Nothobranchius furzeri: one gene and its partner. Each later gene encodes a partner of the first gene's protein in a complex. Links are inferred from orthologs where the notes say so. Each region holds a gene or a part of one and is shown in the gene's direction. Other genes may lie near its edges.

Region 1 (3,825 bases):
GAGCTGTCCACACTGTGTGAGTACATCCATTCATTTAACGTTAAAGTCCCAGTAGTTGTCACACTGGTGTGTGACGTTTGTTCTCCGCATTCGACCCATCACCTGGGGGAGCGGTGAGCTGCAGACACGGAGGCGTTAGGTCCCATTTGTAAAGTCTCTGGTACGACCTGACCATGGATTTGAACCCACGATCCCCCAGTTCCAGGGTGGACATTACCACTCGGTCACTGAGCTGGTAACCCAGAAACTGGCATATTATGTCACTGCCTGCATGCTCATTTATTAAGACAATGCTTTGGGGCAACATCCTGGATGAGCAGAATGTTGGTGATGCAAGTAGAGGAATATGTAGCCCTTTGGAATAATACAGGTAGACAGGATATTTCATCTGCACCATCCTCTGTCTGCTAGTACTGAATCATTATTTAGATGTGGTCCTAAATGTCTTGTTTTGTATTTATCTCATCATTCATTGCACCCATTTTTTCTTGCATCTCGTGAGCATCATTGTTAGCAGTATATAAGCTCTTGATTTCCTGGATGAAAGCTGAGATTGGTGTTTGGGTCCAGTCTAATCAGCAAGTGTCGTTTCAGACTTAATTTGAGTACAAAGTGACATATCCATCGATCCATCCATCCATCCATTTATTTTCTGAACCCGCTTGTCCATGTAGGGTCGCGGGGGGCTGGTGCCTATCTCCAGCGGTCAATGGGCAAGTAGGCGGGGTACACTCTGGACAAAGAGCCAGTCCATCCCAGGGCAACACAGAGACACACAGGACAAACAATGAAGCATGCACACACACACTCAGGACAATTTAGAGAGACCAGTCAACCTGACTATCGTGTTTTTGTGGGAGGAAGCCGGAGTACCCGGAGAGAACCCACGCATGCACAGGGAGAACATGCAAACTCCATGCAGAAAGATCCCAGGCCGGGAAGCGAACCCGGGACCTTCTTGCTGCAAGGCAACAGCTCTAACCACTGCGCCACTGCGCAGCCCTCAAAGTGACATAAATAATGTTAATTCATTGTTTTTAAAGGCATGGGACTCAGAGAAATCATGTAATAATCGTTCTTTATGAAATTCAGTCGGTCACTCTGAGTTTCACATGCACGCTGAATGTGAAAACATTCTCCAGCCCCCAATTCTTGCATTAGCTGCAAAAAGGAAACTGACAATTAAACGATTGGGTCAGAAAAAGCCAGTCTCTTACATGTCACGGGGGAAATTCATGGCCCCGCCTTGGCTTAGGACTGCCCCCAGGAAGGAGAGAGCAAAGTCCATCCTGACTATCCATCCATCCATTTTCTGAACCCACTTTGTCCACGCAGGGTCGCGCGCCGGGGGGTGGGGGGGGGGCTATCTCCAGCGGTCAACGGGCAATCGGGTGGGGTACACCCTGTACAGAGAGCCAGTCCATTGCAGAGCAACACAGAGACACACAGGACAATCGATCAAGCACACACACACTCACACCTAAGGACAATTTAGACAGACCAATCAACCTAACAGTCATGTTTTTGGACTGTGGGAGGAAGCCGGAGTACCCGGAGAGAACCCACATATGCACAGGGAGAACATGCAAACTCCATGCAGAAAGATCCCAGGCTGGGAAGCGAACCCAGGACCTTCTTGCTACAAGGCAACAGCTCTAACCACTGTGCCACTGCGCAGCCCCGTCCTGACTAGCAGAAGCTAACTGTTAGCATTAACAAATCCACAACATAGCGTCACATGTTAATGCTTGTGATGTTTGTGGAGATAAAACATCAATGTTGCACTTTTTACCCAAGAAAGACGAGCGACTGGAAGCAGCAGAACAGTCCTGTTGCTGTCAGCCAATCAGAGGCCAGTAACGGCCAAAATCTAGACGTTTAGCCCACCACCTTATTTAGATGCTGGAATGTCATTAATAACGTGAGCTGATGCACTAAATGTCTGCAGCTGAATCTGTTTTTGAACACTAAATTAAAGTTAAAGCACTGGTCAATGTTTAAATCAGACATCCAACTAAAGTCAAACAAATCAATTACCCAACCAACAATTAATTATTCTCAACGGGTTCTTACAAATAAATTGTAGTTAAATATTAATGTTAGAACATTTCAGATGTTATTCAGGAACATAAATATACCTTTAAATTCTGCAGCAGCTCCAGGCTGCCCTGGGATATGCCTGACTTTAAATCGACTTTACTAAGGAGGAATGTCGGCCGATGCCGATTATATAAAAATATCAGATATCGGCCAGCTGATACATCGCTCTGCTCCTAGTTAAAACATTGTTAAGAGGCATGAAGATTGTCTAGAAGCTAGCTTGTTTTGTAGATTTGCTGCAGCCAGCTGTCTAGATCAGACCGGTTTTCTCCATGAAGGTTTTTGTCACCAAAGAAGTTTACCCTCGTCAGAGCAAACAGTTGCCGGCTGTTTCACGAGATATTTAACGCTTGAATGAATTTGTGAAACAGACCGTGCTCTAGAACGTTTGACTTGAGCACAAAAAATCCTCCAAGCTTTGTTTAAAAAATGCACTTTAATATTTTCATGGAGCAATAAAAATAGCTTATCTAGACAAAGTTATGTTGGCGCCGCTTTATTTAGTGGCTTTCCTCACGAGAAGGAACGTGTTGCATTTTGTTTTGTAACCTTTTATCTTCAGGAGAAGGAGGGAATTCAGTGGGAGGCCAAGGATGAGGAGGAGGAGGAAGAGGAGGCTGCAGGTGAGGAGGAGGATGACCACATGGAGTTTTGCAGAGTGTGTAAAGATGGAGGAGAGCTCCTGTGCTGTGACACGTGCCCTTCGTCCTACCACATCCACTGCCTGAACCCACCTCTTCCTGAGATCCCAAACGGGGAATGGCTGTGTCCTCGCTGCATGGTGAGCTCAGTCCAGATATGTTTAATGCTCTGTATCCTCACAAGCTGGTGTTCATCAACGTTTAGTCCTTTTTTGCTTTGGTTAAGTGGTTTAAACAACATGCATTACTTCTGTTCTTGCTCAGTGTCCTCCTCTCAAAGGAAAAGTTCAGAAGATTCTGCACTGGAGGTGGGGAGACCCTCCGCTGCCGTCGGAATCTCCTGCACATCCTGTTGGCAAGCTGCCTGATCCCATGGCCAAGCCCCCCCTCAAGGGCCGCCCAGAGAGGGAGTTCTTTGTAAAGTGGGCTGGCCTGTCGTACTGGCACTGCTCCTGGGTCAGCGAGCTGCAGGTGAGACGCCAGAGGTGGAGCCGGTTTCCAAAACCAGCATTTAGCAACAGTAACGATCTGTCTTCTGTGATGAATGTGGGACACAGGAAAGTCGGGGGGTTACTGAACATTATTTGGTATTTTAGGTTTTCACAAAAACAAACATCTAGTTTCAGGAGCAAAAGTTACTCAGTTTAGTCACTGACTGTCCTATTTCCAAAGTAGAATGCAATACAATTTCTCTAAAAAATATCATTTTCTAATGAATCTGTTAAGGGCATACTATGCACATTTTTCACATTTTAGGCATTTTCTTGAGCCAGTATGTGCTAAAATGACCCTTTACAGGGTTAATGAAAGGCCATGCTGACCCCCATGCCCTCTGTGGCCAGAATGCTGCCGTGCAACCTCAGAGTATCTGGACCGGTCTGTTATGGGCCATTCCCATCTGTACCGGGTCGGCCCGGGCTGGGTAGCCCCAGTCGGCCCCAGCCTGGCCCGGTTGATTCCACACATCCTTGTCTTAAGCCCATGTGGGCTGATTCTACCCACCAATCAGAGGCTTGCTCTAATGGAAGGTGTGGATTTACTGTCAGCAGTGGGTGTGTTGGCCCTGGTCGGCCTGAAGCAGACC
Region 2 (3,825 bases), on another chromosome or scaffold:
GATACTTGGCCCGGCACCCCTACCTCCTAGTCAACACAGTAGCCATCAAAGCAGAATGTAGGAGGCCCGCCACGCTCTTGTTCAGTAGTTAACGCTATATTCAATGACACTTAAGCCGATATCTGATCACTTACTGTATTTTATCACTGACTGTCGCTAGGTGCCCTGCGGTTACCAGATAAGCCAAAAAAGACTCTGCAACAAAAACCCATGGAGCGTAAACCTCTGGAGTCTGTGGTCCGGTACTTAGGTAAGAAGAAACCACGCACCTGGTGAATCTGGAGGTGCTTTTTATTATCAAGTGATTTTTATTTGCTGATTTGGACAGATTTAGTCTAATCAGCAAGATGAAATCGTTTGTCTAACTTTACAGAAGCACATCCCCGTCCACCCAAGCCCGTACCCCTGACCCGAGGATGCTCCATCTCCACAGGCAGCTTGATGCCCATAAAGCCGTCCCCCATCCTCAACAACGGCTCCCCCACCATCCTAGGCAAACGCACCTATGAGCAGCACAACGGACTGGATGGTCAGTGGAACAGAGAGCTCCTGTTACAGCTCTACCGCACTCGTTATGTTTGCTAATATGTCCCGAAATAATCTAAATTACTTCACTTAATGCTGACTGGAGAAACTTAAGTTTTATTCATGCCATAATTAAAGGTATTTTCATAATTCTTAACTTAATGCTTAAATGTGGAAACTTGAACGTGAATCAAGTTTTTATTTGAGCTTTTGTCCCACTTTCCCTCTGAAATGAGACAGGGTAGAGAGAGAAAAGGTGAGGATGTGTTGGAGAAAGATGGAGAGGAGGAGATTGGAGCACCCTTGCTGCTTTAGCTGAAGACTGTTGTCATGGTAACATGGCAGCAAGGGAAAGATGAAGATGGCTGGGTTCCCTGAGGGAGGGATGGAAAGAGTACTAAAATTTCCTACTTAAGTACGAGTACCAATACTTGGATAATTTTTTACTCAAGTACAAGTAAAAAGTATCGTAAATAAAATGTACTCAAAGTAAAAGTTACTTGGTTACATTTTTGTCAGCGTGAAGATGGCTACATCGGTGCAAAATCACAACACCAGTTCACAACACGCTCGTGTCACGTACACACACTCACTGTTTGATGGAAGGGTTTCTATCCAATCAGTGAGAACGGGACGTGCACATTGATTGGACGAGGTTTTTCTAGGATTGTATTTGTATTAGGATTTGTGTTTAAAAATCTTTATTTTGAAAAAATAAAGAGTTTTTTTTAGCTCCCATCAGCATGTGAGGTATCTCAATGTTCTCATGACAAAAGTAACATGAGACTGTGCTCTAACCTGTCACATAACATAACAAGCTAAATAAAATTCGAACATTTCAAATGGACTGTATGACAGCCGCTAACGTTGGCCCTGCCCTACTTTACCTCTACATTACAGTTCCTTTATCTATGTCCATCCTAGAGCTCCTCTCTGACCTTCATGCTTATTTAGAGCAGCTGATTTTTAAAGTTAGAGTTCATCCTTGGTAGTGGGTTCACTCACTCATTTAACCCTTCACCACTGAAATCGGTTTGTTCATTCCAATCCTCCTAAATAATCCTCCAATCATCCAACTGGAATCCTTAAAGCTGGGCGTACACTGTGCGACTTTTTCACTTTTTTGAGCCGATTTTCCAGTCGTGCGAGAAGCCACGACATCGGGGCGAGTTTTGCGCCGAGCGGTCGTGTAGTGTACAGGGGGTTACGAGAGGCGATTAACACCACGTGACCAGCCGCCGATCAGCAGTCGTGAGGTCGCAGGGACTTCTGGTGTGTTTAATATTTCGCTCGTCCCTCGTGAGGGTATCGCACTGTTGAAGCGGCGCTGCGAGCAGCTACGATCCAAAAAGTATCAGAACCGCTCACGGCGCATGCGCGCGCAATCCTGCATCAACGCCGGCCGGTCGCTCGCTATTTCCCTAATAACACACGCTGTTCGTTTTTGTTTCTACACGTTTTTTTTACTCACAGAGATTGTCAAGAAAGCGTGTTTGTCGTGTTCATGTCAAATTAAACTGATCACAAAACACAGATTTACTCTCTTTATTTCGTTTTCCTCATCCAACCCCCATAAATCCCTGTGTGTCCTCCTGCAGCACTCCCGAAGGACAACAGGCAAGACAAAAAAGTCTGACGTGTTGAGTAAAAACTGCTATTTTTAGCACATTTTTAGGGCCGACGTGTTGCTACCAGACGTACAGTGTGAGCAGTCAGGTCGCATGCGAGAACAGGGTCGTACAGTGTGAGCACACGACTCGTGAGATCTGCCCTGCGAGGAAGTCGTACAGTTTGAGCTGAAGCTGAACGCTGCGAGTGAAAAAGTCGCACAGTGTACGCCCGGCTTAAGGGTCCCGTAACGTCCATCCTGTCAGAGCAGGCCTTGGGAGCCCAGGTGTTACTAGAACTAACGGTGTCTCCTCACCAGCGTGAGCCTCCAAACTGTGAAGGTTGGTCTCCAAACATGAACTTTAAATTCATGCATTTATCTCCTCTTGTAACACTTTAACATGTTTTAAAAGGCTTGTATCATGATATGGTACACCTCCCAGACCAAAGAAAAGTCCAATATAAGATAATTATCATAAATACTGCAGAGACGTCATTATTTATGAAATACAAGTTATTTTGTTCACCATTACTTCAGCCAAGAAATAAGATGCATGGATTTGATGAAACCATGCTGTCTTATGCAATCCTAAATGTGTAACACACACACACACACACACACACACACACACACACTGCAGCATGTTAGAATCATTTCAATGACTAATTTAACTACATTGAACTGCTTTTGTAATAATTTAATCTCTTATTCTGGAGTAAAATAAAGAAACAAGCTAAATCATCACATATCTGTGGCATCAAGGAGCATATTCTGAGTTCAAACACAGAGATGGAGCACAACGTTTACACCTGAACAGTGTCAGGATGTTTTAACTCAGAGGCCTGCAGGTCTTCTGTTTTATGAGCAAAGCTCTGAGAATCCGTTTGTTATGAGCGCTAAACGTTATTTTGCCACTACTGTGCGGAGCGGTTGGGGAAACACATTTCAAACACGGAACCGAGTCCAGCTACCGAACCGAGCAGAATTCTGATGACGTAACACCGGTGCGCGAAGGTGCGGGTTCCAACCTACGAGAGGAGGGAGAGAGCGAGTGGATCACAGGGGCTGAACTGATGTTTTTGAGCAAAGTGTACACCCACACCCCCACGGTTTAGACGCGGTGCTCATGCAGGCGTCTCTTTCTGTTCCGACGCTGCTACATGCAATGTTTTTAATTTATTAAGCCTATAATTTGTTTTTACTTAGTAACGGTTATGATTTAAAATGTAGTGAATACAATTCTTTTTAAAAAACATACTCAAGTAAAAGTACAGCTTTTAAAAATGACTTAAAAAGTATAAACACAAAAAAAGCTACTCAATTACAGTAACGTGAGTAAATGTAATTTGTTACTTTCCACCTCTGGTGTTTGGCAATTTTGTGAATACATCTAAAACTATAGAAGCCATTTAAAGAGCATTTCCCAGTCAAAATGTATTTAAAACAGTACAAAACCTTTCAATTGTTATGTTGTGTTATGATTCTTTTTCCAAACAATCCAACAAAATATTTCTTATAAAATAAATGAAGTAGAAGATATTTTAAATCATTTACAAGCTAAATGTGATGAAAAACAAAATTCCAATGATTTAGCAGATCAAAGGGATCTACTTACGTTAGCGGAGTGTGTGCTGGAATAGGAACATGTGTTGTTTGTTATTGCATTGTTATTATTCATAGAACTATGTTTA

Evidence for each region.
Region 2: chd5 (region 1) and mta1 share a complex: the UniProt entries of both Homo sapiens proteins name them as parts of the nucleosome remodeling and deacetylase (NuRD) repressor complex. The link is inferred for Nothobranchius furzeri from reciprocal best matches to the Homo sapiens genes CHD5 and MTA1.

Annotation. Positions count from the first base shown.
Region 1 is NC_091743.1:75,304,885-75,308,709, forward strand, and holds part of chd5 (chromodomain-helicase-DNA-binding protein 5), read left to right. Parts: coding exon 1-16; intron 17-2,662; coding exon 2,663-2,881; intron 2,882-3,005; coding exon 3,006-3,212; intron 3,213-3,825. UniProt on the Homo sapiens protein: ATP-dependent chromatin-remodeling factor that binds DNA through histones and regulates gene transcription. May specifically recognize and bind trimethylated 'Lys-27' (H3K27me3) and non-methylated 'Lys-4' of histone H3.
Region 2 is NC_091758.1:21,721,584-21,725,408, reverse strand, and holds part of mta1 (metastasis-associated protein MTA1), read left to right. Parts: coding exon 1-57; intron 58-160; coding exon 161-250; intron 251-373; coding exon 374-529; intron 530-3,825. UniProt on the Homo sapiens protein: Transcriptional coregulator which can act as both a transcriptional corepressor and coactivator. Acts as a component of the histone deacetylase NuRD complex which participates in the remodeling of chromatin.